2 linked regions of the Lytechinus pictus genome follow. The protein of the gene in region 1 purifies or fractionates together with the protein of each later gene. This does not show direct contact. Links are inferred from orthologs where the notes say so. Each region holds a gene or a part of one and is shown in the gene's direction. Other genes may lie near its edges. The genes, in order: protein-lysine N-methyltransferase EEF2KMT-like and elongation factor 2b-like.

Region 1 (15,838 bases):
TTTACCTCATGATGGTATAATGGTTTTATTATAGATTACATTCAAAAAATTTTGACATTCCATCTTCATCCCTTCCCAAAGACCCCAACATTGATGAATTGGAAGAAACAGGGGTTTCTCTTCAATGTTATAATAAGGATTTAGGAAATTGGCTATACAATCTCCTAATATTTATATAAAAGTTAGGTCCTACCTTAATTCTTGCTCGCCAGAAGATAGAATGTGGTCCAGCCGCTCAGAATCTCAGGTAAATTGCACAAATCCGTGAATAGAAATATATACACTTCACAATTTCAAATACAGTAGATATAAAGGGACAGATGTCACAAAATGTCTCGCGAAGTAATGAGCTCATTAAATATGCAGAGAATATAGACTTCGAATGAGTGGAAGTGACGGTAAGGAATAAGATTGGAAAATGCAGAGAAATAATTAAGTATAAGTTGATCCTCCACAAGATTTGATTCAATCCTCACTAGCAGCTGGATGAGATGGTCAGCATGAGTGGTCAGGACGAAGGCAGAGAGTAGAGTGATAATGTGATGGAGAAAACAAGTTGTTTTTGACCAACATCAGAAAAGGTGAGACAAAGAAATAAGCGCCAAAAAGGGTGGCAAAACGCAGTTGAAAAGAACAAAGAAGAGAGAGGTAGACTGTGAGAAAAGCAAACATGCAAGCATCTCTGTAGTGATGTTGTATACCTGCAAGTTCATTGCAATAAACAAGGGACAATGAAAGGATGTTTGCTCCAAGTCTAGAACAAAAGAAAGGTTGTTTCTCAATATAAGAATGTGTTTGCCAAGTAGATTTGGGCAGGAAATGAGTTGCCTTGTTCTGTGCTAGTACAGTATAGTAGTACATTGCACATGGCATAAACAAGTTAGAATATAGACATGAAATTGGAAATAAAAGAAAGAATTTATATACATGTACAGTATGTTGAAATATAAATGAAAATATATACAAGGAAAGAATATATAGATGTACATATATATAAAGAGATATAGTCAAGTCACTACAATTAAGGACATAAGTATTTCGTTTGGAAATGGTGAAATGGCTCTTTATTTGCATTTTATGATTTGATAATATTGTTTTATTTGTTAAGCGGTATTTTAGGAAGAATTTTCACCAATAAAACAATTATCTCTTGTGATTTTTTTTTCATTTCTTTCGTAAAAAGTGGGGGGATGTTTGTACAGGCCATCCCCCCTCCTCGAAAAGTGGGGGGGATATATCCCCCCATATATATAGCATCCCCCCCGGGATTTACGCCAGTGCCGAGCAGTTTTTGTAATCATGAAATTTTTATATCTAATTAACGAATTAAGTAGGGCCTATACTAACCATATCTAATTAAAGAATTAAAATTTATAAAGCCGTTTTAATAAAGAACCAAAAACGAGTGCGAAGCGCGAGCTGCTTCAGTTCAGCAATATTAATTCAATTCTTTTCTTTTCTTCAATAATTCTTAATGCCAGGGCCCTGAAAACGATTATTATTTTTTTACTAGGGGTGCTGGTTGGAAGAAAAATTAGTCAGGCAAAAAAAAAAACGAAGGTGATTTTGATTGGATTTTTTTGTTCTTTTTAGCATATCGGATTTCAGGGGTGCTCCCTCTAGGGAATAACACACGAAGCACCTCATCAGGCAAATTCTTGGGATGCCTCAGCACGTACGCACACCCGCTTCTCATGCATATAATGATCGAGGGCCAGGGGCGTCGATCCATTTTTGAGATTGGGGGGGGGGGGCAAAATCATGAATCAACATTCCAAAAAGGCGCTCGATCACACAAAACAAACAAACCCACATGCACACACACATAGGCCTATATATATATATATATAAATATATATATCTATATATAATATATATGACTCATGAGAAAGAGACACATATCTCACCAAAAAATTAATCAACAAATTGATGCGAGAGCGAAGCACGAGCTGAATTTTTTTAGTGTACTGACCTAATAACCGCAAAAAGGTAACTTTGTAGTATAACTCAAAGACATGGGGATACATAATTATCACTACACACATAATGCAAGTGCCGAGAGCGAGCTGAAATTTTTTATATTTTCACCTGAAAGCTTGATATTCTAAGCATTTTTGGTACCAATGATTAAGATGGGTAATAGATGCGAGCGCGAAGCGCGAGCTGAAAATTTTGATATTTCGATCTGAAAAAATTGAGTTTAATGGACGTTTTTAATAAAGAACAAGATATATATCCAACAAAAGATTATTGCAAATCGAAGCGAGAGTTCTTTTGAGGTTTAGAACTGAAAATGCCATTCTATTCACCTATTTAATCATGAAAAGTATGGGTTTTTGCTCCAGAAATATGATGCGAGCGCGAAGCGCGAGCACGATTTTAAATAAAATCGAGTTGTGTATCTCAATATCGCTTGCTGATTTTTGTGTAACATTACAATCTTATTTTATTTTTGCACATGCGGAATTATTGGGGGGGGAACGATGTTTGCCCCTCAATATTTTAATTGGTGAGGCGATCACCCTTCCCCCCTCCCAGCCCCCAAGGATCGACGCGAGTGCGTATATAGTGCGAGCTCAAAAATTTTCGGCAACTTCTCCAGTGAACAATTTAAGTGCATAATTATCTCTCTCTGCATGTAAAAAAAGAAAACTCCAATATCAACTTGAAGGAGAATAATTTTTGCAGACTAATTTCAAACGGGATATTTAACGGTCCATTCTTAACCTCTTAATTGAGCAGATTATTATCTCACTCAACTAGTAGCTGGCGACTTGCCCCCCCCCCCCCCCGCGAAATATTCGGTTTCAGCATTTCTTTAAAGGGGAAGTTCACCCTGACAAAAAGTTTATTGTAAAAATAGCAGAAAAAATAATAAAAAATATTGCCAAAGGTTTGAGAAAAATTCATCAAATAATTAAAAAGTTATTATAATTTCAATTATTTGATTTGTGACGTCATGTGCGAGCAGCATTCCTACATAGCGAATGGTAAAGAATCAATGAAATGTCATTTTCTCAGAAAATTGAAAATGGTTTTCACTGTACCTTTTGTATATCAATAGACAAATCATTTCACACCCGATCATGAATAGAAAAAAAATTAAGTCATCAGGAACCATACAAAATTTGAAATTCATGCATTTTATATTACATAACACATGGGGCAGCTGCTCGTTTATGACGTCACAAATCCAAAACTTTGAACTCTAATAACTTTCTTACTCTTTAACGGATTTTCATCAAACCTTCACCAATATTTTTTACTATATTTTCTGCTATTTTTACAACAAAGTTTTCTTCAGGGTGAACTTCCCCTTTAAAACCTGATCGAATTACTGACATATACGGTTTATCTTCCCTTCCCATATATTTCATTCACTTTTCTTCCTCTCCTTGTTTTTTTCTTCTACCCTCTTTTTCTTTTCCCCTTTTCCATTTTTCGCCGCCAATATAGGGGTGGCCGCTAATTAGAATTTGACAAATTAATAGCTATTGGTTTTTTTTCGACCTAGCTATACTCGTTGGAGGTTTATATGAAGATATAAATGATGTCGATTTTAAATGATATTAAAATAAACCAAAGGGAGTGAGAGGAAGGAAAAATAGAATTGGAAGGAAGAATGAAATAAATGGAGGAGACACATATTTTTTTCCGCCCACCCCCACCCTTTAGAATGCCGGATCGACCCTGCATCCCCCCCCCCACCCCACCCCACACACCCTCACAAATTAAGACCCGCATCTCTGCATTCTCCTACAATTAATTGCGCAATGTCTGCCACGTGAGTCCCGGAGGCGCGTTTCCGTTTTACACCCTGGCGAAGGCATTTTCCGCAAAAATAGCCACAAAGCGACTAGTGAAGAGTCTACACACGTCGCTGGTGGCAGCGTGCGACACAGGCGAGTCCCACACCACCGCATGCAGTCTGCACAGTTACTGATCAGAGCATTTCATGTACAGAGAGCAGTCATATGAGTGAAATCCGAACCGAACATGCTTTTGCAGTTAGGTTTTTTTATATGAAAAGTTAAGAAAAAGTTTTTTTTCTAAATATAAATTATTAACTAAATGAATAGAATGACAGACAAAATAAACAGATACATACAATAGAAAGAAAATTGAAATTTGATGGATTGATACACTTAGATGCCGAAAGATAGATATAGAAGACTGATAAATAGATAGAGACATAGATAAATAGATAGAAGTAGAGAGAGAGAGAGAAAGACAGAGAGACGGATAGATAGATAGATTGATAGATAGATGGGGGGGGAGAGAACTTGATAGATGGAGAGATGTTATAGATAGATGGATAGATAGATAGATGGATTGATTGATAGATAGATAGATAGATATATGGACGGATAAAGAGAAATAGAGAGAGAGAGAAAAAGACAGACAGATGGATAGATAGAGAGAGAGAGGGAGAGAGAGAATCTGAGAGATAGATATTAGATAGATAGATAAAGAATGAGAGAGACAGAGAAGATGGGCAAATTAACAGATAGATAGATACTGTAGTTACATAGATAGATAGATAAATAGATAGAGACATAGATGAATAGATAAAAGTAGAGAGAGAGAGAGAAAGAAGAGAGATGGATAGATAGATAGAGAGAGGGGGAGAGAGAGAGAGAGAGAAAGAGAGAAAACAAGACAGATGGATAGATAGATAGATAAAGAATGAGAGAGACATAAAAGATTAACAGATAGATAGATAGATACTGTACATAGATAGATAGAGAATTTGAGAGATATATTTAAAAATAGATAGATAGAAGATAGATAGATAGAGAGAGAGAAAGACAGAAAGATGGATAGATAGATAGATAGAGAGGGGGAGAGAGAGATAGAGAATTGAGAGATAGATATTAGATAGATAGATAAAGAATGAGAGAGACAGAGAAGATGGGCAAATTAACAGATAGATAGATACTGCAGTTACATATAGTTAGATATAAGATAGATAGATAGATTGATAGAGAGAGAACTAGAGAAAGACAGATGGATAGATAGAGAGAGAGATAGATAGATGTTAGATAGATAAAGATTGAGAGACAGAGAAGATTAACAGATAGATAGATACTGTAGTTACATAGATAGATAGATAGATAGATAGATAGATAGATAGATAGATAGATAGATAGATAGATAGATAGATAGATAGATAGATAGATCTATATAGATATAATTTGAGAGATAGATATATAGACGGATAGAGAGAAAAAGACAGACAGATGGATAGATAGAGAGAATTTGAGATCAAAGACTGAAATAAGTGAATGTTTACATACAAATAGAATCATAACAAAATATAAAGTAAACATTATGAATAAATATCAAATACAATACAAATTCATACAGATGAAAAAGAAATGTATCATAAATAAATACAAAGGGCCAAAAGTAATACAAAGTGTCACCAAAGAAGAAAAAAGCGGAATGAAAGATTAAGAAGAAAGAGATGGGAGAAGGGAAAGAAATTGGGATAAGACAAAGAGAAGGGAAAGCAAGAGGGGGAATTTGAAAGAGAATAGGAGGCAACCTTCAGAAAAAAAAACTCATTATGCAATACAAGACATTTAACAATGGTAACAAGTAAATAAAGTAGTAATTGAATCGAATCGAGCACAAAAAAGGGAAAAGTAGAGCTGAGGAAATAGACTCCCGAAGGAAGTCGAGGCAGTGTTGATATTGCACATGAGTAGATTAATAGATGGATAGAGAGAAATAAAAGAGAGACAGATGGATAGATGGATAGATAGATAGACAGATAGATAGGTAGATAGAGAATGAGAGAGACAGAGTAGATAGACAAATTAACAGATATCATGTAGTTCCATAGATTGATTTATAAGATAGATAGTGGATAGACAGATATGATAGATATAAGGATAGATATAATATGAAAAAAAGGTAATTATGTGTTTTATTTTTCAATATTTTAGCTATTATTCGTTTTCATTCATAAAAACGATCATGTGCGATAAAGTTAAAAAAAATCATGAAGCCAACGTATATAGTTCAGCGGAACAACCAAAATACAGAGACTGAAGCTTTTGGTCTATAAGCTCAGCTGCATTTGCACGTATGTTCTGCGGATATCTTCGGTGCGGACTTTTGGATCGCGCGCCCAGCTGATTATGTAAACAAACGTTGACGTAGACTCTTCACTAGTCGCTTTGTGGCTATTTTTCCGGAAAATGCCTTCGCCAGGGTGTAAAACGGAAACGCGCGTCCCGGAGCTCGGAGCTGAAAGTGCTATCGGCTTGCGGTGCGCTGCCGACGGCAGGCGGTATGACTACTACCCTACTACCCATACCTTCTTCTTCTTCTTCTGTATCCTTCCTCCGCTGTATCGGAGATCCGCAGTTTAATACTGCATTAACATTAGCGTTACATATTTTGACGTGAGAGTAAGGTAGATCGAGAGAGGTGAATCTTATGCAAGAAATTTAAGACAAGTAGGTTGAGGTCGTTTCTGGAGGAATCTGCTAATTCGACGTCAGGAAGAAACAGGACGGAAGCGGTAAATTGTTGAGGTTCTTGATCTTTGAAATGCACAGAAAAATACTGCAGTTCCTCGTCTTCTTTTATTAAGTTTAGAAGGGTTTTCCTGTGTGTGCTAAACGCTGGGCATTCTCCAACAAAATGTACAACACTTTCCAGTTCGGAGTGGCAGAACTTGCAGGACTTTGTGGTACTTTGATTCAGAGAGAATAACCTTCTATTCGTTGGGTATGTACTGCAGGATAATTGAGCTCTGATGGACATAGCTTCCCTCAGGAGAGGGCTGGAGACTTGCTTTGGGTAATAATTCTTTTTATCACGTTGGGTCATGCCCGACCATAGACTTAGAGAAGATTTTGTAGCAATTGCAATTTCAAGGGCAGCATAGTGTTGTTTATAAATTTTTCCCAGTGCTAGCTTCTTCCATACTTTATATGGAATGCGATCTCTAAGGATGTTAGGGAGACTTGGAAGCTCATAACTATTGAGGATTTTTATCCAGCGTCTTACCAAAGGTGTATTGTATGCTATACCATTCAACAGGATTCTTCTCTCAGTGCGTTCGTCTGAAAGGCTTGCATATTGCCCAAGTAAGAGAAGAATTTCATAGTCGATTCGCTTATCCATTGGGAGGATATCGAGCAATAAATAAACAATTTCGTCCGCCGCACTCCTTGGCAAACCAAGCACTCTTTTAAAAAGAAATGTTTGGGCCTTGTTCAAACGGGACAGCATGTAGTTGGTAAGTTGAATAATCTGAATCCCATATAGCATTCTTGGTATGCAGAACATTTTCCAAAGATGAGTACATATTGGTGGCAGCAGGCGTAGAGTTCCTTGCTTAGTTCCAGTGAGAGAGAAGAAGGTGTTATATCCCTTTGAAATGATGTTATTGGTATGGTCAATATTACAATTGCTTTTTACTATGCCAAGGTGTGGGTGCTCTCTGCTTTCCTTGATTGTCATTCCTCCCATTTTCCACTCGACTGAACTTACACTGGTTGATGCTTTTTTGTTTATTACTACTACGGCACTTTTTTGTGGATTAATTTTATATCTCCAATCACAGGAATAAGAGAAGGTGAGATCCAGCATTGATTGGAGTTCTCGGGGGCATGTACTAATTAGAGCAACGTCATCTGCTAGTACTATCACTCCCATGTAGCAACCATTAATAGAGCATCCAAGACAAGCGTTCCTTAGTGATTTGATCAGGCCATCGATGAAGACTGTATATAAGGTGGGAGAGAGCACACTCCCCTGTTTTACACCTTGAAGGATTTGAAAAGGAGAGCTGACTTTTCCTTCCCACATGACTCTACTGGTACTACCGTTGTAGAACTCTTCCAGTGTAGATAACAGGGATTCATGGAGGCCTAGGTTTTGAAGCTTAGAAAATAGGCCTTTATGCCAAACGATGTCAAATGCTTTCTGTGCGTCGAGAAGAGCAAGGTATGTTGTACATTTCTTGGCAGAGTTCAGTTGGATTATTAATTCCAGTGAAGATGCAGTAAGGAGGCAAGATTTGCCTTTCTGGAATCCAAATTGTAACTGGTCTGGGACATCATTTATTGCGAGTGGAATTTCTAGTTGAGATTTGATGAGCATTTCCAAAACTTTACCAATTGTTGAAGAAACTGTTATGCCTCGGTAGTTAGAAGGATCTTTTACATCTTTTCCCTTTCCTTTGTGAACTGGGACTATAAGGCCGGACTTCAAAGGTTCAGGAATATACTTTAGGGATATACATCGATTGATGAGGGCGAGAAGTAATTTCCGAGCTATTGGGCCAAGATATATAAGATGCTCAGGAGATATATTATCAGGTCCTGCAGCTTTTTGTTTCTTGAGAGAATTAATAGCTTCATCTAGATCTTTTGAAGTAGAGGGTTGAAGTGGTTGATTCAAATTTTCCTGGAACGGGCGAGTGGGAATAGCTTCATCCAATTCAGGCGGAGAAGAGGCATTCATGTAATCCGGTTTAGCAAGATCTGAGAAATGTGAGTTGAAGCCATCTAAAACTGCCTCTCCTTCATATGTTGTACCCCTATAAGACAGTGTATCAGTGGACCGAGATCCTTTAGTGCTTTTGACAAGCCTATAGAAGAGTTTATCATTGCTACCTTTAGCATCCTCAATTTCTGAAAGGAGATTATTGTGATACATCCGCCGTGCTTGCCTGATGCTACTTCTAAATAGACGTTTTGTATATACATGCTTGATCCAGAGAGGGTCCTTGCCTTTTGGTTTTCCGCTGGCCCTCCAGAGACGCCAGTAATATTGAGATTGTTTATAACATGCCTCTACCTTTTTGGTCCACTCTCTTTTCCCTTTCCTTTTTCTTTTCTGACGGCCCTTCGAGTGTGGTAGAGTTAGTGATACCTTCAACATTTCTTCGCTAAGTTGATCAAGCAGCAGGTCGATTTGAGTCGGATCCAAGCACATTGCAGGAAGATTATAGAAAAGGTTCTTTGATATTTGTTCCATAGGAAGAGTATAGAGAAGGTGTAGCTGGTCAGCACTGCACTGATGCCAAGATATCTTAGGACGAAGTATAGACTTTCCAGATCCTTTAGCTTTGCGATCAGGTATATCATGATCTACTTGATAATTGGCTAAAAGTGGTAGTGAAAATGTCACTTTAACCGGTGTGTGGTCAGAGGTGTTTAAAGGATCGTCATGCTGAATAAGAAGGTCAGAGAAGCAGTTTTCGAGTTTTGCAGGAATTATGAAGTCATCAATGTATGATTGTCGTAAACCATCATCTGATTGGAAGGTGTATAGCTCCTTTTTATTTTGGAGAGATGATAAGTTAATCATGTTCTCACTAATCAGAAATTCCTTTAGAATACGCTTTGTAGGTTTCTTACACGATGCATTTGTCAGATCAGCATTCAGATCTCCACCAAGTATAATCAGGGCCTCTTTATACCGTACCGCCGGCCGGCACGAGCTAGCTCTGGACGAGTCACGAGTACGGTACGCTATCGAAGACTCGAGGGTGTTCGTTTTAAGTTATTCTTGTTAAGCTGTTGCAGTCTGATGAATAGACCTTGAAGCGATATGGAAATGGACCAACTTGTGAACCAATATTTTGAAATGATCCCACTTCGACACTTGAGTTGGGTGAGTATTTTTTACGAGAATTATCAACCTGTTCACAACCAATGGCAATGGCAATGCAAATAATTCATGGCCTAATATACGGTAAGGGCTCCCGCCCGCGAAGCGGGCGCGCGGGAGGTCCCTTGGTTAGATCATGTCCTACCTCGGGCGAAGTTCGTGCAGACTACAGCCTGTACAGGCGCCATTACCGCTACACTACGCTCCACCTGCCCGAACATCGAGTCCGTAGGTGGAGCGCAGTGCAGCGGTAGTGAAGTGGAGTGAAGTGAGCTTACACGAACATCGCTCGAGGTAGTCCATGTCACACATGACTAAACCAGGGAGCTCATGATGTCCATAAGATGATATTTCGCATGAGGTGAAAGAAAGATGCTCGGCATAATCGTGATATAGTCCCCAAATCCCAAAATGGGGATTATTAGATTCGCACAGCTCGAGAACTTGCGAAATGATAACACACACAAATGAAACACACTTACACTTGGGTTCTCTCCCTATTATATACTCGTGATACAGTCCCCACTCTACGGGAAATCAAGTTTGATTTTCACGGCGGTGGGGACAGTTTCAACAGTATAGTATACTCGTGATGCAGTGCCCGCGCTATGGGATACACAGTTCACTTTGCACGCAGTGGGGACAGTTCAAACAGTATAGCTATACTCGTGATACAATCCCCACACTATGGGATACACATTTCGTTTGGCACGCAGTGGGGATAGCTCCAACAGTACTCGTGATACCGTCCCCTCACAACATAAAATCGTGCTTGTTCGACAAGGGGATGGGGACAGTTTCCCAGTGCAACGTGACAAGGAAGACTCATTCAAAACCTTCGGGAATTAGTATCAGGGTTGGCACGTTTTAAACGGTGTGTTTTAAAACATGTTTTAAAACACGTTTTAAAACACCCGTTTTTTTTACAAAAAAAACGTGATTTAAAACGCCTCATAGACTTGTGTGTTATGAATATGCATGGATGTGATTTTACATGAATATATTTTTTTATACTTTTATTTCTGAAGTGGTATATTATTTTCTTCTAACTAAATCTCTTTCTCAACACCACTCTTTTTCTCCTCTCTCTTTCCCCCCTTCTCCCTTTTTCCATTGCTTTGTCGTGTTCCTTTCCTCCTGTTCAATTATGTACATCAATCTATATATTCTCATTTTAACAAGCATTTGAGTGCTGTGCTCACTTTTAGACAGGGAAAGAAACACTATTAAAAATAAGCTCAAATATGTAATAGTAGTACTTGAATGAAATGGAAGTGTTGCACAAGCACAATAATATTTTGCAAATAGACAGTATAACTGACATTGTAACCTTGAGGTACACACTAAAGTAGGTGAAACTTTGCGCTTCGTAAAGATGAAGAAAAGTAGTTTAATTTATAATAAGATAATCAGCTAGCAAACCTTAAAGGACAAGTCCACCCCAAGAAAAAGGTATTATGCTGAAAATTTCATCAAAGCGGATGTAAAATAATAAAGTGATGACATTTTAAAGTTTCGCTTAATTTCGCAAAACAGTTATATGCGCATCCTGGTTGGTATGCAAATGAGGGGACTGATGACATCACTCACTATTTATTTTGTATGTCGTTTTTTTCTCATTGTCATGTAAAATATAGTTTTTTCCTCCCTGAACATGAGTGGAACTACAATTGTTTTAACATTTTTTGGTTCAGTCAAGTTGGTCATTATTATCAAATCTGTATAAATTGAAATATTGTATTGTTCAAACAATTAAAAAAACAAAAGAAATAGTGAGTGAGGGACATCATCAACTCTCTCATTTGCACATCACTGAGTTGTTATAAATGTTTTGTGAAAAATAAGCGAAACTTTAAAATGTCGTAACTTTCTTATTTCACATCCGATTTCGATGAAATTTTCAGCATTATGCTTGTTTGAATTTTTTCTACTGATTCAAATCAACATTTTTCTGGGGTGGATTTGACCTTTAACCCTAACAATCCCAGGGGACTGTAATGGCCCCCTTAAAAATTTCTATGATAAATCCATAAGCACGGCAGGGCCACGCCATATTGTTCAAGACTATTTTTTGGATACATGCATGGATATGCGGTTATGATATTACCATGGAGCTATCAGCACATTGATAGCTCCATGATATTACACAAGTGCATGTCAGACCAGAATTGCTCAATATCGTGATTTCATGTATAAAGCCAATGCAAATTTTTTGCCAACATTTGATCTGTATCAATATTTGTGCTTTTTGTTAATGATTGGAAAATTATTACCAATAATTTTCATTAAAAAACTTTTAAAAAAAACCAAAAGTAACCACAAAACTGTACATAAGAAATATTAAAAAAACAAGTTAAAAAAAACATTGAAAAAAACAATTTGATCAGAATTCCTCAATTAAAGAAATAAGCAGTTCAAGGGCCTAATATTTATAGATTTAAACCCAAACTTATATTTCATGCACTTGTGGGTACCCGGTAGGATGCGAAAATCATTGTAGCTTGTCCAGTACTGTGTGCGCCTCACTAGCGACTGACTGGAATACTACCCAGGGAGTGGAGGATGTGCATGCATTGTGTGCGGGAATGACTGATTGATCCGATGACTGGCTTAATAATATATCTGTAAAGTGCTTAGACACATCGTTCCAATGTATTAAGCGCTATATAAAAGCGGACTATTATTATCATTATTATTACTTAAAATTGGTATAATTGATTCAAATGAAATAAAGCATATTGAGTAAATGAAATTAAGCTTTGAAAGCCTATATTCTATAGATTATGTTGTTTTCTTACATAGCGCAACTTCTTCTCACCCCCTAGATTGACAAGACTAAAAAACCCTGAGACTACATGTATGAGGAATAAACTTATAAAATGTCAACTTAATTTTTCGGCATTCAATTTCCTTGATTTAGTAATTTTGGGAAAAATATGAATTTTTCTGTTGAAAATTCAGTAACAAAAATTGTAGTCATCTCTTACTTACTCCATAAATGTATTTAAAACATCAAGAGCTTAAATCATACTGTATTAAGTGTATAATTTAATTGATTTACAGGAAAATTACATCGTTCGTTGGAAAAAAAAACGTTTTAAAACGATTTAAAACGTTTTAAAACAATAAAAAACGTTTTATTTGTTTTTTTTAATAAAAAACGTTTTTTATTACAACCCTGATTAGTATTGTCATCATCATATTATATTATCATTTTATCATTATTAATATTTTATTATTATTATTGTTATTTAATCATAATTATCATTATTGTTATTATCATTATTATTGTTATTTAATCATAATTATCATTATTATTGTTATTATTTATTTTATTATTACTATCATCATCATACATCATTATTATTTTTTATCATTGTTATTATCCTTTATTATATTATTATTATTGTTGTTTTTATTGTTAGGCCTATTATTTTTATTATCAATATTTTGTTATCATTATTAATATAATTATTTTTATAAATATCATCATATATCATTATTATTCTTTATTATTGTTGTTGTTATTATGGTTATTATTCTTTATTATATTATTATCATCATCATTATTCTTTATCATTGTTGTTGTTATTAATATTGTTATTATCCCTTATTATATTATCATTGCTGTTGTTATTATTTTTGTTATTTTTATTATATTATTATTACTATCATCATAATAAATATTATTCTTTATTGTTGTTGTTATTATTATCATCATAATAGTGATAATAGTATAATAAATTATTATATTATTATTATCATTATTATTCTTTATCATTGGAAATGTGCCCCTTCCATCCAGTCCGTTCCTTGTATTTCATTTAATTCCTTCAAATGAAATCACTGTAGACTCATTCATAACTTTTGGGTATTATCGTAATTATTATCATCATTATTGTCATTATTTTTTATGGTATTTATTTATTATTTACTTATTATTGTTATCCTTATTTTTTGTTAACATTATTTATCTTTTATTTTTATGATAATAATTATTATTGTTATTATTCTCTATTATTACCATTATATTTACCTTTATCATAATTATTATCAACATCATTATTGTTATTAATCTTTATTATCATCATCCCCATCATTATACTATTGTTGTTATCATTACTTTACTTTTCATTTCTGTCACATATTGGTATTGATTACTTTAATGTTTTGGGGTGACTCTTTCAATAATAACAACAACAATAATGAAAATGATGCCAATGATGATCAGGTATTATGATAATAATTAATACCCAAACATTATTACGAGTCTACAGTGATTTCATTTGAAGGAATTAAATGAAATACAAGGAACAGAATGGATGGAAGGGGCACATTTTCAATGATAACGAATAATAATTATAATGATAATATAATAATTTATAATATCATCATCATTATTATAATAATGATAATAACAACAACAATAATAAAAAATAATAATGATATATGATATGATAGTAATAATAATAATGATATTAATAATATTGACAATATTTAACAATAATTATAATAGCAATAATAATGATAATTATGATTAAATAACAATAATGATAATAATAATAATAATGATAATAATGATTAAATAACAACAATAATATGATAAAATGATAATAATGATAATATATGATAATGACAATAATAATAATAATTCCCGAAGGTTTTGAATGAGTCCTCCTTGTCACGTTGCACTGGGAAACTGTCCCCATCCCCTTGTCGAACGAGCACGATTTTATGTTGTGAGGGGACGGTATCACGAGTATAATATACTGTTGGAGCTATCCCCACTGTGTGCAAAGTGAACTTGATTTCCCGTAGAGTGGGGACTGTATCACGAGTAGATACGGTTCTCGGGAGAGAATCCAAGTGTAAGTGTGTTTCATTTGTGTGTGTTATCATTTCGCAAGTTCTCGTGCTGTGCGAGAGTTGGGGACTGGGGGACTGTGTTCTGGAGAAAGGAAGTGATTTTTCATGCGTTCTGGTAGGTGTGATTCAAATAATCCCCATTTTTGGATTTGGGGACTATATCACGATTATGCCAGATGCTCTTCAGTATTTTGGTCTGTTTGTCATTAAGATTCATAAAAGACTCAAGAAGTACATGATGATGAGGGCTTGATTTGTGAATTGAAGATGTTCTGTGCACCACCAAAGATTTGGGAAGGGAAAGCATTATTGGCACCATGCAAGCCTCTTTATTTAACTATATTGACTCGCCTTGAGGGGAACATTAAATATATCGCCAGTAATCCTATTGGCCCAAGTCTTTAGACTCTTTTGAGTCTTTAGATGTGGGCAATATGGTTCTGTTATTGTTAAGGGCAATATATTTTATGTTTCCTGAAAGAAGAGCCAGTCAAATACTTTTATTATCCAAATCAGACATCTAAAGCAAAATCGAAAAAATACAGATATTTTACTTTTTCAGAATGTGATTCTATTTTTTCATGTTGAGCAGGCTGTGTCTCTGAACTACATGTATACAATTGTGACGTATTTGAAATGTTGCCGTATCCAGCTTTTGTCTCATCTTGTTTGACATTATGACTTACATATATATTGTGCTGTGTGGATCAATATGACGCTTTTTAATGTCTTTCTACATGTATGCGTACTCAGATGCCCGGATGTGAGCCCAGGGAAAATGCAACTATATTTGGGTCGTCTCAGCATACAAAGTCAGTACGGCCATAAAGACCGATGAAAATGTAAATAATGTACCTATCGATCCTTCCCGATCTTTATGAAAGCTAGGGCAATATGGTTTTGTAAATTTTCAGCTCAGACGTCTGATACGGGTATTAATATCTTTTATTTCATTCTATGTTTCCAATTTAGGGGGATGCCTTTAATTCAGCTGCTCCTTCGCTAGAGAAACAACAGAACATTCTCAAAAAGGTATGTCAAGATGTCAAGTCAGTTCACTATGGCTTAGGTATAACTTTAAAAATGCTACTACAACTACATGTAGCTATGTAGTACTACCACGTCTACTACTGCTATGAATAATACTTCTGCTGCTAGCTGCTACTACTACTACTACTACTACTACTACTACTACTACTACTACTACTGCTACTGCTACTGATACTGCTACTGCTACTGCTACTGCTACTGCTACTGCTACTACTGCTACTACTGCTACTACTACTGCTGCTACTGCTACTACAACTACTACTACTACTACCTACTGCTGCTACTA
Region 2 (15,893 bases), on another chromosome or scaffold:
TCGCTTTTCCTTTTCTCCTCTCCTTTTTCTCTTCTTTTTTTTCTTTTTGGGGACGTTTTTTTTTTTTTTTTTTTTTTTTGGGGGGGGGGGGCGACCGCCCCCACCGCCCCCCCCTGGCTACGCGCCTGATTCTCTTATACCTCAATTTTAATTTTCCTTTAAAGCGCGGAAACGTCTATGACTAACAAGTATTTTCGGAGAGCTTCTATATACTAGCGCAGTTCTACACTCTATATATAGAGTGTAGAACTGCGCTAGTATAGAAGCTCTCCGAATACATTATTTTCGCTTCTTCCCCCCCCTTTTTTTTTTGCCAGCCGATAGAGGGGACACAACACTGATGGTAGCAGGTCGCCGAAATTCGTACCCTTTAAAATGGGGCGGGGATACGGTGCGCCTCAGGAACAATAATGGCTTTTTAAAATTAAAGAAAGTCAATAAAGACCAATATTATGATATGTGACAGTTTGGAGCGTACTGAAATCTTCAAACATTTTTTTGATAAAAAAAAAATTAAATAAATAGTGTCAGTCGACCCAGAAGGAAAAACCAGTTCCACTGGACCAGTTAGACCAGTATAATTTTAACTGGTAACTCTGGAAATTGGAACATCGGTTTACTGGTCTAACTGGTCATACTGGTCCAGTTAAAATTTTACTGGTCCAGTTAAAAATTAACTGGTCTTGAACTACTGGAATTTTATACTGGTCTTGTTTCTGGTGGCTGTTACTGGTCTCACTGGTCTTCGTACTGGTTTCCAATTTCAGCTGGTCTTTACTGGTATTTTTTACTGGTCTGACTGGTCCTCGAACTGGTCGAACTGGTCCTCGTACTGGTCTTACTGGATCAATTTATTACATGCATTTGGTTTGTTATATACCATGGTCAGTGAAATGTGATGAAAAAAATGGTTAGTAAATTAATCTTTCTGCTGTTATTTTAAATGTGATGTATGAAATTACACATTTTCATTGTGAATTAGTTCACACACTTATTTAGAAAGTTTTTAAACAACAATGAGTGCCATTGCAAGGATATTCCATTCTAAATCCTGATTTTTCTTTAAAAAACAGGAAATATGCAAATGAGGTAAACCATGTGATCAGCATCATCAGAATTACTGGTATTACTGGTCTTGACCAGTTCAATTTCAAACAATGAATTACTTAAGACCAGTTGACTCTATCAGAGGAATATATCTTGATTTATCTTAATCATTTAAAAAAGGAAATAATTATTTTAATGATAATGTTCATACTTGATAATTATGATAATATTAATAATAATAATTACAAAATCAATAACAATGATAACAGTAATAAGAATGATAACAACAATGATCATAATAATCATAATAATTATATTAATTATAAAAAGAATGATGATAACAATGATAAATGATAACGGTAATAACTTTCTCTGAATTGCAAGATTCATTTTCCATAATTCGTCATATGATCTGACTTGAAATAAAATCATTATTTATTGGACCAGTACAACACCAGTTTGATGAAAAACAATTTAACTGGTATTACTACTTTGTTTGAACTGGTCTCCAGTTGATTTTTACTGGTACAGTTAAAAATCAACTGGTCCAGTACATATACTGGAAACCAGTAAAAATCTACTGGAAACCATTTATTGGACCAGTAGCATCAGTTTGATGAAAAACAATTTAACTGGTATTACTGATTGCTTCAACTGGAATGCAGTTGTTGGAACTGGTCTCTAGTTGATTTTTACTGGTCCAGTTAAAAATCAACTGGCCCAGTAAAAATATACTGGAAACCAGTAAAAATCTACTGGAAACCAGTAAAAAAAAATACTGGTCTTACTGGTTTTTCCTTCTGGGGAACACCTCCATGGGACCCCATCCATGTGACCTATACCATGAACACCTATCGACATCCATGCCTACATTACTGAACAAAATTTGGGTCTGACTCTGAAGCCCCTTCCTCTGGTTCCGCGGCCCCTATTGATAAAATAATATAGGCTCAAAATATAGAAAAACAACATGTGTTTCCCCTGGCTATTGCGACATCACCTGACACGCGTGTGTCACGGATGTTGCGCAATGTCACAATTTGACTGTGTGCACTCATAGAGATGTATTATATATATCTCTATGTGTGCACTACACATTCCACACATCGCTCGCTAGCGAAACACACTTATCAAGCGCGCGACTTCGGCAGACAATTAACGTCGATCGCCCGACGACCAAGATTTAACACACGGACCGTATACGCAAGCTAAATCGCACGCATATATCGCACTGCAGCTGTGCACTAGCGCATAGCTGCTAAGCTGCATACGTTGCATCCTTTTCAGTTACCGGCGTAAACCGAGTAACATTTTATTGACATCTGGTGGGAGAAACAAAGCAAATATCCAAAATGGTAAGTCCCATCATTGAAAAATCATCCGACATCTATTATATTTAACTAATTTACAATGTTTATGTAATGTTGATTTTACGCTTTTGATTGGGGAAATCTGTAAATATTCGTAATTCATTAACTAAATCGACCGGCAAGTGAATGAATGAGTTGCAGAGTTGCTCAATACTTACAGTACAGTCGAGTCGTACACGAAGTAATCGTGCATGAGTATGAGTATGACTGAGCGTGACGCACTGCGCTATTTTAATTTCAATGTTTTTTAGTAAGCAAGGGAGCCCTTGTTATAATCTATAGGCCCGCCAACATTTTAAAGACAAAAGTGTGAATGTGATGTCTTAGTTACCTTGAATTTTGATTCTGACTCCTGTTTCTCATGAGTCACTCATGAGTCATGACTCATGTAGGGACCCCAATGAAGCAAAACAAAAACAAATCTCCTTCGTTTTATAATATTAAAATCACTTAGGCTACTTGTTTAAAGTAAGTGGTACTTATCCATTCAAATAAGTCTTGTTATTCCAACATGTAAATGAAATTAGAAAAAAAGGGTTCAAACTTGGCCCAAAACGTTCAATTTCCCCATTGACTCCGTCCGCGCTGCTTTGTGTCAATAAGGCTTTGCGGCCAGTTTTAGACAGTTTGGGACGGAGACAGCTGCGCGAAAATATCAGGTGATCGTTGGCGCATCGCGTAAGTCCGATGACCCCAAAATATAGTCTTGTAAATGACGTCGCGTCCCGCGCCGTTATTCAATAAATGATCTCGGTCCCGAAATATTTCCACCCAGTTAAAGTCACTTTTAATGTACGTCCATCGAACATTGATAAAACAGAAAGAAAGCGTGAGTGAGTCAAGGAAATGAGAGAAAACAGAGAGGGAAAAGTAGTATTTAAATTGTTTTCAGATATTGCTTGTGTGCCATTAATTTGTGAAGTCATCAAGCTCGAAGAAGAGCAGAATGCAGATATTTTGATCGTTAAATTATTGTTGCATTGTTATGATTTGATTCCTTACTAAGTTACTTTAAATTTGATCTAGAGTATGGTGATATTTGACATCTATTAAATTCATCGAACTGATAATCATGTCATGAGCTCTGTCTCTTAATTTTGGCAGCCTACTACCTCGGAACATTTGCTCATGCAAAGGCCGTCCGACGAGTAAAAAAAACACGCCCGTCTTAACATTTTAAATAGCTCCGTGGTTTGAATAAAAATGAATAAAACGGCCGTCGTATAAACAAATGTGACCGAGGTAGAGGACTGTTGTAGGCTCCAGTGGCTTACGCGGGGGAGGGGTAAAGACCAAGTCAAAATAGTGATCATTATTTATTTTTCATTTTTCGATCTTAATTACCGCCCCCCAGAAAAAAAAAACACCTAGCTGTCCTTACCAGATCATTCTCCCAGGAAAATATGTTCACCTTTATTGTTCCCACTGAATGTCGACCTTACTCGATGTTCTCATATTTCTTTTCTCCCCCCCCCCCCTTTCGTATGGAACAAAGAAATACGCTATAGGAGAATGCTCTGGTAGGGACAGGGAGCTCTGTATTGGGAGTGGGGGCGTTGAGGGACATTATGGTTGGAGGAAAATTTTTATATAGGTTATTTTTGTTCCTCTTCCTTTTCTGTTATTTTCTGTAAATGTTTCCTTTTTATATCAGATACACTACAGTCACATTTGCTCTATGGTGGCAGAACGGTGAATAAAAAAAAACAGCCGTTTTAAAGATTTTAAAAAATAGCTATATCATACTAGGTGGGTTGGTTACTAATAGTTTGAATATAAATGAATAAAACTGCTGTGTTCGACCACCGTACGGCTGCCGTAAATCAGATCAAAATGTGACTGAGGTGTTACACGCTCGTAAAAATAAGGAAAGAGGGAGGGGGGGGTAGAGACAGTTATGATATTTTTATCGATCTGATTAAGTCGCCTTACCTCCCCCCCAAGAAAAAATAAAAAAACTACCTCCCAGTCTCTACCATTAGCATTCTCCCGTGAAATTGTTCCCACTTACGAAAAGGACGGGATGTCGACCTTGCTCATGAATGTTTTTTTCCTCATTAACTGCTATCTTTTTTTTTGGGGGGGGGGGGGTGGGGAGGGGTGTTGAGTGACATCATGCATGGTTGAAGGAAAAGTTTAAGTTAATTGTCGGGATTTTGGGTTCGGCGCCCCCCCTATATATTCTTTGTTATTTTATATACGTACATGATTTAAAAAAAATCTCAGATAACGGTAAAAGCCAGTGATTTTATCTCTGTAGGCCTATAATATATAACGACGTAAACCGGGACGTATCTTCCCTTTTTTTTTATAGAAAGGGTGGGTCAGTGTATGAGAAAAAAATGTTTTCATGGAAAAGAATCAAGTTATTAAGAACATTTAAAATTAATATTTGTATATACTGCAATTTAAAATAATTTAAGTGAGGTTTAGGGATGTTTATTTCAAATTCTCTCTCTATAACATAAAAATACATTAATAAGGTTTGAACATTTCCGCAGTGGAAAATAAAATTTGAATTACATATTAATAATTATGAATTGTAATGGATGATTCTTACCTGATGTGGTAAATGCCCTCGTCCATCTGGAGTATTCCCTGGACCGGAAAGGCAGGGGTACAACCAGCTCAGGGATCCCTGGGGGTATTCTCGTGTTATATAATTCAGGCTAGGACACACTAACCCATCATGGGATCATTCAAAAGATCAATGGAAAGGGGTGCTTTTCACTGGTCAGCACATGAATGCTTTGACCCAATCAGAAGTGAAAACGCAAAAAAAAACATGACTCATTTTATCTCATGAAATGTTCCCACCGAAGACGACGGAATGTCTGGCTTCCAAGACCTTATCGGACAGGCTGTTTCATGTCTGTCAACACTGCGGCAACTTCACAGAAACAAATTCTTTCACACCCTCCTTATTCCGAAAAATCCATGTAAATTACTTTCTTTTTGTTGTCAACACCCTTCTGCATTAATCTTTTGAAGTATACACCGCGGCAACTTCACAGAAACAACTTATTCTTTCACACCCTCCTTATTCCGAAAAAGTCCATGTGAATTACTTTCTTTACAGTTGTAATATTTTTGGCATTTCTTTACGTAATCAAATTATCATTTTTATTGTGCTGTCCTGCATGAAGAGTTCATATTTTTTGGATCCTGCAGACTGAAGAAATAAAACGTTGCCTTTTAATGCAGGTTCCCTCATGTTTCTATTCGCCGTATTATTCAATTTAAATAAATGATGCCATGTCTGATTTGTACGTCATGTTCATTCTTCTGATGTAATATTTGTATTATGTTCATGATTATGACTTGTGAAATAAGTGAAATAATGTCATATCTCAAAATTGACGAAGAGTTCCCCATAGCAACCTTCAGAATATTTTTCTTTTGGAAAACTCACCGGCACCGACCAGGGACACCGAAGGAGGGGGCAACTCTTTTCACTTAACAAAAAAAAAAGAATAATAATTAAAAAGTGAGTATTCTCGTCTGATCGTTGTTACATGATGATACCCTTACCCCCACCCTAATTCAGAATCCAACCCCTGACCCCTACTGGGATAGCTATATAGAAGGGGTAATTAAGGGCCACCCCATCGATCCTCCATAATATCCCATGTAGGAAGTTGAGACTCATGGCGGAAAAAGGAGTAAAATCGAGAAATGTAAACGAGCTATGTAGGCCCCCTCCCCGTGTAAAAAAAAAATCAATATAGGCCTATTGCACATCCCTTGAAATCAGATGTAAATTCAATTTGACAGTCGCATTGGATACCTAATTTATTCATATCGGGTTACATTGGTATAAAAGCCCCATAATAGCGTGACTTTTTTGCCACTTTTTGTCAACGCTTTAAAAGGTCCATGTTTGAACCAGGGATATTGCATATCCCTGTTTGAACTATATTTTCACTCATGACAGGGCAAGATAGACGAAGTGTTAGAAGAATGTTCCCATAAAAAAGCAGATTACGGATGTAAAAGTCAGCGGGGGGGGGGGGGGGTGGGGGGGGGGGGAGTCTCTCACCGAAAACGTTTTTTTCCAACTCTCCGCTCAATCATATAAATGGCCTCCAATTTTCAGGGGGTTTTTTTGGGGGGGGGTGGTGTAAACGGGTTCTTTGCAGGTATTTTTTTTTTGATATCCATTTATTTATTTTTGCTAAGAGCAAGGGCGCAGGACCGAGGAAACCCATCCCCCACCCCCTCCGCCTATACATTAGAAAATAAAAAAATAACTGACATCTCGTCGAGTAATTTTTGTATCCTAATTTTACAACAATCAGTATGTTACTGTTAGAAATAAAATCTTAAATGTGTGTGATTGTGAGAGGGCATATATACATATATTGTGCGTAAACATTGCAACTTAAAACATTGATTTCTTAGATTTCTTAATAAACAAAATATACTTTAGTAGGCCTTAACAATTGATTACTAATCAAACTATACACACCGGGGGATTCCCCTATTTTAATTTAGCCCTGGGATTTAGCCCCCAGAGCGAATGTACAGTTGCAACGTACAGGTCCATGCTTTACACACGCAGTTTTTAAATCCACTCTAACTCCATTATTCCCATGCCACCATCTCGGTCACAGACCTTCTCACACACAAGTGTAAACATCCTTGTACAGAATTCCCTGTATCACACGTATATGCCGCCATTATGCCATGTGCAATATCTCACACACACATGACCTTCCAAAACATCTCTCCTTGTATCACGGCGATTACACGTGATTAACATTTGTAACTGAGGAGGGGGGGGGGCTGAATGTTCCTAAGAGAAAGATTGTGCTAGCCTTCATCCTTTCACATTTTAAAATTATTTTCATTTATTTTATTTGGATGATATCCGTTCACAACGTTACAGAGTTTAAACGAACTTTACAAATCATAAAAATTGCCTGAATCAAGACTAATACATGGTCTACGTTCGCGATAGGCCCCTCCCACCACTTCGCGCGATCTTCAACTTCATGACGATAATTACGTCACGTACACGTCATATGGAGGTTTTTGCTTTGCATTTTAAAATTTGAAAATAAATTCACTAATTTTTTTTTCTTAAATTAATCTAGATATAAGACTTCGTCTAAAAACCATCTTTTTTAAGAATGAAAAGTCCCAAAACGGGCCCCAAGATGTTTTAATTGAATATCTTTAAGTAGAATAGGGTGGGTCCTTCAAAAAGATTATACAGCTCAGCATGCACTTCCAAGACGGTCCCTGAGACATGAATTTAGGGAAAATCCCAAAAGATGCAGCAAATGCAGAATTTTTATTGGTCAAATTTTGGAGGGTGCCGCCCCCAAATCAAACTTAGCTCGCTCACACGCAATCCTGGTGACGTCATGGTGACGGGTCGCGTGTGCAAAACTTTGAATTTCCCCATTGACTTTATACACATACAAACTCTGCAGTTCATGTGGAATACAAGGACAAAGTACGATATTTTCCCATTCAAAGAACAAGTAGAGGTAAGCCATTCGAAAATATAGAATACTAAATAATTACTGACAAATAATTACCGATCCTTTTAATGCCAAATATATCATAGCTACCTGAAATAACTGAATTTAGGGTGAAATTATCAGTCAAGAGGGATGCATTATTGGGGCTTCGTAGGATCAACGGACGCGCTCGACGCACTCGCAATGGTATGTAGGGACTTTGATAGAGCAAGTACCGAATATACCGTTGTCCCTAACTCATGTTTGTTGACTGTTGATGTTGTGTGAATTATTTGAAAAAAGGGATGGTCCGGGCTGAAAGTATTGGTATAGCTTGATAAATAGAGTAGAATTCACTGAGCAAAATGCCGAAAATTTCATCAAAATCGGATAACAAATAGGCCTAACACTTAACAGTTATTGAATTTTAAAGTTTAGCAATATTTTGTGAAAATAGTAGGCCTAGTCATGAATTATTGAATATTCATTAGCCTAGGTCGAGTAGGTGGGCTGATGATGTCACATCCCCACTTGTTCTTTTGTATTTTAGGGCCTAGGCCTACCGGCATGACCGGTATATGAAATTATGTTTATTCAAATTTGTTTTCCTCCAAGAACTACTCAACTAGAGTAGAATTTAGAAATATTACTCAGTAATGATAATTGATATACCTATTTATTTAGGTGGGCTGATGTCACATCCCCACATAACCCAGGAAGCTTACCGTGTATTTGACCATAGTCACCGGACTAGGGTGATTTATGGTCTAAATATTTCTCCAAATGAATTGTGAAAACAGAAACTTACAATTACCACGATTATATGGATGAAGGTCTAACGAGTGGCAGTTTCCTGACATCTGGGCACAGACTGGAACCTCAAAAAAACGAAACGTTCTCTCCTCTACCCCAGTCTCGATCAGCCATTTTGTTACGATTTTTAACAAAAATGGCCGATCGAGACGGGGGTAGAAGGAGAGAACTTTTCGGTTTTTTGAGGTTCCAGTTTGTGCCCAGATGTCAGGAAACTGCCACTCGTTAGACCTTCATCCATATAATTGTGGTAATTGTATACTTTCTGTTTTCACAATTCATTTGGAGAAATATTCAGACCATAAATCACCCTAGTCCGGTGACTATGGTCAAATACACGGTAAGCTCCTGGGCTCCCGCGCAGCGGGCGGGAGCTCCCTGGGTTAATCCCCACATTGTTTTCTTATGTTATTGCATAAAATAATATTTTTTTTATTATTTCATAGTACTTGTGTGAATGATGACAATGTTTCCCTTAGCTTATAAGTATAATGAAATAAGTTGCAGCAATAAATATCTAGCTAGGGCCTAAAGCACTAAGCCAGTTGCCAATCATGTAGCGCAAAATCGCTCTCGCGCGCCTTAAAATCGAGTCCCTGAGTAGAGGTGCACGGCCAATATAGGAGACTCTTTCCAAAGGGAGACACTTTCCAAAGGGAGACAATCTCCCATATTGGACACTTGCTTTGCAAAAGAACAAAGAAACACCAACAAAAGCATGATTTTTTTTCCACCCAAAATTTTGTCCCACTGAGGTCAGAGCCCATTTGTTTCATGTGTGGATGACAACAAAAAACCTTATAAAAACAAAAGTAGACGGTGAAAAGGGGTAATTTTTCATGAGTTGAGGAATCTGCTTATCAGTATCACATTTTTATTTGCCGCCAAGTTAATTCTTTTGCAGCAAATGTAAACAAAGAAAATTGGTCTCCCAAACTGGAGACTGTCTCTGAAATTGGATACCCAAATTCTTGATAAAAGTATCTTGATATGGGAGATAATCTCATGGGAGACAGTCTCCCATATTGGACGTGGGCCGCTACTGATCACGGAGCCTTGAAATGCTTGCCATATAGACTTTATGCATAAGCGAGATGACTTGTCAACAAGGATGGATTTCCCTAAGAAATACATAATTAGACAGTGAGATCGGTTTGTTTCTCTTGATTTTATTTATCTATGAACCTTTACCGTATATGCAATAGGCGTATGAAGGTTCATAGATTAAAATTATTTTAGTATAAATATGAAAAATGAGAGGTTTCTTACCAGACCGATCTTTTGTAGATCCCTCGATCCATTCGTAAACACCGCAAATACAATAGGTTTGACCCTGCTTCGATAAGTGATGTTACAAAATGCGTGTCAATCGGTTTTTGTCTCACCTGCATAGCAGAGTGAGACTATAGGCGCCGCTTTTCCGACGGCGGCGGCGGCGACAACAACAAATCTTAACCGAAGGTTAAGTTTTTGAAATGACAGCGTAACTTAAAAAGTATATGGACCTAGTTCATGAAACTTGGCCATAAGGTTAATCAAGTATTACTGAACATCCTGCCTGAGTTTCATGTCACATGACCAAGGTCAAAGGTCATTTAGGGTCAATTAACTTAGACCATGTTGGGGGAATCAACATCAAAATTTTAACCTAAGGTTAAGTTTTTGAAATGTCATAACTTAAAAAATATATGGACCTAGTTCATGAAACTTGGACATAAGGTTAATGGTTAATCAAGTATCACTGAATGTCCTGCATGAGTTTCACGTCACATGACCAAGGTCAGAGGTCATTTAGGGTCAATGAACTTTTTCCAAATTGGGGGTATTTGTTGAATTACCATCATAACTTTGAAAGTATATTGGTCTAGTTCATAAAACTTGGACATAAGTAATCAAGTATCACTGAACATCCTGTGTACATTTCAGGTCACATGACCAAGGTCAAAGGTCAATGAACTTTGGCCATAATGGGGGTATCTGTTGAATTACAATCATAACTTTGAAAGTTTATGGATCTGATTCATGAAACTTGGACATAATAGTAATCAAGTATCACTGATCATCCTATGCAAGTTTCAGGTCACATGAATTAGGTCAAAGGTCATTTAGGGTCAATGAACTTTGGCCAAATTGGGGGTATTTGTTGAATTACCATCATAACTTTGAAAGTATATTGGTCTAGTTCATAAAATTTGGACATAAGAGTAATCAAGTATCACTGATCATCCTGTGAAAGTTTCAGGTCACATGATTTAGGTCAAAGGTCATTTAGGGTCAATGAACTTTGGCCAAATTGGGGGTATTTGTTGAAATACCATCATAACTTTGAAAGTATATTGGTGTAGTTCATAAAACTTGGACATAAGAGTTATCAAGTATCACTGAACATCCTGTGCACATTTCAGGTCACATGACCAAGGTCAAAGGTCAATGAACTTTGGCCATAATGGGGGTATCTGTTGAATTACCATCATAACTTTGAAAGTTTATGGATCTGATTCATGAAACTTGGACATAATAGTAATCAAGTATCACTGATCATCCTGTGCAAGTTTCAGGTCACATGATTTAGGTCAAAGGTCATTTAGGGTCAATGAACTTTGGCCATGTTGGGGGTATTTGTTGAAATACCATCATATCTCTATAGTGTATTGGTCTAGTTCATAAAACGTGGACATAAGAGTAACCAAGTATCACTGAGTATCTTGTGCGAGTTATAGTAGTTTTCAAAGTCAGCACTGCTGCTATATTGAATCGTGTGATGCAGGTGAGACCGCCAGAGGCATTCCACTTGTTCTCTATTATACTCAATAGGAGCATACACTTTTCTATGCAGATCGATATAGCAGCCAACCTATACAGTATGCACACGCAATATTACCACGGTAAATCATATACAAGAGATACTATAGCGCAAATAAAACGTACGGGCGGTTAAGGGCGGTTCAGTGTGTAACAGGAAGGGCAGTCTCGGGCGTTTCAGGGGCTATTTGGTTAAAGAGATATTTGGTTAAAGAGATATGATTGGAATTATAAAAAAATGTTGCCTTTATTTACCCCTCTCCCCTATTTAAAAAAAAACCAGAAAAATAACATGAGAATAATATTGGTTTAAGTGGCCATCTTGTTCTCTTTGTTAGTAGCTTAGTTTGGATACGCATATATCGCAAAAAGTCCCCAGATGATCAATAAAATCTCATTCAACCCTAAATTAATGCTAATTATGTGAAAGGTGAATAGGTGTATTCATGTTAAATGTGTTTATTGAAATACCAGTGAAGTTTGCCCAGCGCGAGTATTGTGACATCGCTACTCAGTGCATAATATTTGTATTGATTTCTACATGGTATGTAAGCAGAATTATCACTATTTCATTTTACAGAGTCTATGGGGAAATGGAAATTCTGTTTTCAGACATGCTGAAACAGACTTAGATTTTCTGAAATGGAAAATCACTGTCCCTGTAAATCTTAATGGTAAATACATGCACATACATGTAAACACGTAATATATTTGTAGAGGTAGTAGTATTGATATTGAAAGGTGAAAATACTCCTTTTTTTTCTCCACATGTAGGGATTACTAACTGAAGATAAGGTTAACATTATTTTCTTGCCTAATGGATATAAGTGTATTCTTCTGTACTTTCCTTTTGGTGTTTAGTTTATTTGGCTACTTTTAAATGTTATGTCATTTTTTTTTTTTTAAGGTGAACTTCACAATAGATCAGATCCGTACCATCATGGACAAAAAACAGAACATTAGGAACATGTCTGTTATTGCTCATGTCGATCATGGCAAGTCTACTCTGACTGACTCTTTGGTGAGCAAGGCCGGAATCATTGCCACTGCAAAGGCTGGTGAGATGCGATTCACCGACACCAGGAAGGATGAACAGGAGCGTTGTATTACCATCAAGTCTACGTTAGTATTGATTTGTAGTTTAATTTGAGTAATGTTTGCTTTTTTATCTACATGCAACATGTATCTCCAAACCTTTCTGATTTCCCTATGGAGGTACTCACACAACCCTAGATTTCTTACCATCCTTGCCCTCTTGAAACATGAATGTCTTGGCACTGATCAATATGATGAACAAGGTGTTTTCATGGAAGCACATACATCTGTATTACAGTTGAACTTGGTTATCATCTTATATAAGCCTGGTATTTTACTTCAAATTTTTTTTCCATCAGGCCACATGTGCTGGATATACAAATAGCAAATAGGCATGAGTGCAAGGTTTCGCCTATTCACCGAATGTGAAGTGTTGCACGATTGTATGAATAAGGATATTCGCTATTTGTGTTGTACGCCTCGAAAGTTAGTGAAAATACGAAGAATAATCATTTTCTCCTACGTAAATCTATGAAAATAAGAATTATTTGTAGAATAAAGAAAAAAAGACCATGAAATGGCAGTAATGGAAATCAAAATTTTAGTATAGAAGGAAAAAAGTATTTAAAAAAAAAAATTTTAGGAAAAAGAGGAAAATGAAGAATAAAGGACATTATTGCCTTTTTTATAACCGATTACGCTAGATCATGATAGATTTACAATTACATGCATATTGTAGAGCATTTGCCCTGCATTTTTTGCTGTAAAAAAGTTTTCATCACAAAACAACCATTAAAAAAAAAAAAAAACAATATTTAGAAATAATAGTAATTAAATAATGTAAAACAACCTTTATAATAGGAGTGGGCTATACGTGGGTGAAAAAATACTTTTTTGGTCATTTTAATATGGCAACAGTTTTTATTTTTTACGTGCAAGACTCTTATGACAAGTGTTATTACATCCCAGTTATTCACAATGAAATTTTGATACAATTCTGTTGCGTGCCCTCGCAAATAACGATATTTCTGGTTATTTTTTCATAAGTGGGCGAGACACTAAATCGGTTATGCCTTGTTGTTTCTCTGGATTAGCTGCACTTGACTTTTCGAGATTATAAAGCAGGGAAAAAGATGCTTTTTTTTTTAACAGGAAAATACATTAGGCAATGCTACATTGCAGCCACTGAGCATAGTCTTCCACATCATACCCGTAAAGGCAAAGACAAAAGCTCCGGCCTCCTTGATAATGATTATAGGCTTAGTCTAGTTGACATCGTCGACCCATATCGAGTAATTAAAGGTATTTTTTATTATGAATAATTCTTATTGGGCCAGAAAAATTTATCCATACCTTTCAAGAGAACTCAAGTCTACTTATACCAGGCCGACTACATGTTTGTTTGCTGTATTTTTGTTTCATAGAGCCATCTCCATGTACTATGAGCTGTCAGAAAAAGACATGTCATTCATCACGCAAGAGAAGGACGTAAATGACCGTGGTTTCTTGATCAATCTCATCGATTCCCCAGGCCACGTTGACTTTTCTTCTGAGGTGACGGCTGCTCTGCGTGTTACAGATGGAGCTTTGGTTGTTGTGGACTGTGTCAGTGGTAAGGAGGTTTTAACTGTCATAAGACTCAAAGTTTAGTGGATGACAAAATGCCCCCCCCCCCAGATCTCGCTAGTTGATTGAAAGATCACAACAAAAATTGACACACACTTCACCATGACTGTATTTGTGCAAACGTTGCATCTTGAATTGTTCTTAAGTCTTAAAAATTTATTTTTATTGAATTATGCTAATTTATGCATGAAAGAAGAATATAATTGTAAATTACGAATATTATCCCTGAATTTTCTTACCGATAACGATCAAATGCACATAAAAAAGGTCAAAATATTTTCATATATATTTTACTGTCACTGAAATTCCCTATGTATCTTTTATTTGTGGAAATGGTTAACGGTACACCATTTTTAAAGTCCTGGAGTAACTGAGATAAGAAAAGTGGATAGAAATGGAGGTGAAATGGAGAGGTGAAAAAGTGGAGGTTTGAAAGCCAGCCTTCTCCCACCTACTCAAGCCTGCCTACTAATCAGCTTTCCTCTCCTTTTTGTTTAGTCCTTTAAAGGACTACACTGTTTTCGAAGAGAATAATCTACTCTCAAACCTCCACTTTCTCTTCTTTTCCATTTCACCTCCATTTCTATTTTCTTCTTATCTCTGTCCCTCCAGGACTTAACACACGGTGTACCATAAACTATTTCCGCAATTTTTTAATACCACCTTGCAAACCTTCAAACATCCGTATCTTTTATTGATTTTTCAATTGGAATTGCTGGGAACACTTCAGATCATAAACACTAATTACCAGGGTGTAATTAATTGATTGATTATGAAGTGATGAAATTAATTCATTATAATTAGTACAAGTAAAAGTAATGATATTTACATGTATCAATTCTGGCTAGAAACAGACATTGCTTTGATTTTTACAGGAAATCACATTTTTTAGTAATTTTGGTATGACATGCATTTTTACAGTGAACATGTAATTTCAAAACCACATCGCCTGGTGTGCAAATGTGTCAAAAAGTTGGCAGGACTTTGAGAGAAAAGGTTGTGAAATGACATTGCGCTAACTTTTAGCCGGGGGGCAATTCCCGTCACCAGGTCATCCCTGGTTATACCTTGGTCACATTTGCTCTACGGCGGCTGTACGGCGAGTCGAAAACGGCCGTTTTAACATTTGTTGTCCAACTACATATAATATAGGTGGTTTGAATTAAAATTAACAAAACGGCTGTTTTCAACTCGCCGTACGGCCTCCGTAGAGCAAATGTGACCAAGAGATTACAACCTCTGCCCCTGAGTCGTGTTTCTTTAATTTTCTCTTGATAAATTTTTGACTTAATGATAAATGTGTCTGATGCCTTATTGTCCCTGTAGGTGTTTGTGTGCAGACAGAGACTGTTCTTAGACAAGCCATCGCTGAGAGAATAAAGCCTGTTTTGTTCATGAACAAGATGGACCGCGCTCTTCTGGAGCTTCAGCTTGAAATGGAAGATCTCTACCAAACCTTCCAGAGAATTGTTGAGAGTGTCAACGTAATTGTTGCCACATACGCTGATGATGATGGACCTATGGGTAACATTCAGGTTGGTATTGTTGGGGATTAGACTTAAAAATTTATTGTTGTAAAGAGTCAGCTTGAGTTGGTCACACCAGAATCTGACCAAGTCAATTAGGAAATCGCAATGTATTTCCCTTTCTGGTGTTCCAAAAAATAAGAAAATAAGTGACATTGGTATAGTTCATGGCAAAAAAAATCCATCTGAGAGTAAATATTTTGGAA

What was found.
Region 2: the proteins of protein-lysine N-methyltransferase EEF2KMT-like (region 1) and elongation factor 2b-like purify together in Homo sapiens (affinity purification with mass spectrometry; 3 studies listed by BioGRID and IntAct, counting the BioPlex papers as one, with this or other methods). This does not show direct contact. The link is inferred for Lytechinus pictus from reciprocal best matches to the Homo sapiens genes EEF2KMT and EEF2.

What each region holds. Positions count from the first base shown.
Region 1 is NC_087254.1:35,544,993-35,560,830, forward strand, and holds the start of protein-lysine N-methyltransferase EEF2KMT-like, read left to right. Parts: upstream 1-9,441; 5' UTR 9,442-9,576; coding exon 9,577-9,639; intron 9,640-15,173; exon of another isoform or gene 15,174-15,344; intron 15,345-15,474; coding exon 15,475-15,534; intron 15,535-15,838. UniProt on the Homo sapiens protein: Catalyzes the trimethylation of eukaryotic elongation factor 2 (EEF2) on 'Lys-525'.
Region 2 is NC_087249.1:23,431,356-23,447,248, forward strand, and holds the start of elongation factor 2b-like, read left to right. Parts: upstream 1-9,170; 5' UTR 9,171-10,927; intron 10,928-11,103; 5' UTR 11,104-12,380; coding exon 12,381-12,622; intron 12,623-13,959; coding exon 13,960-14,147; intron 14,148-15,487; coding exon 15,488-15,696; intron 15,697-15,893. UniProt on the Homo sapiens protein: Catalyzes the GTP-dependent ribosomal translocation step during translation elongation.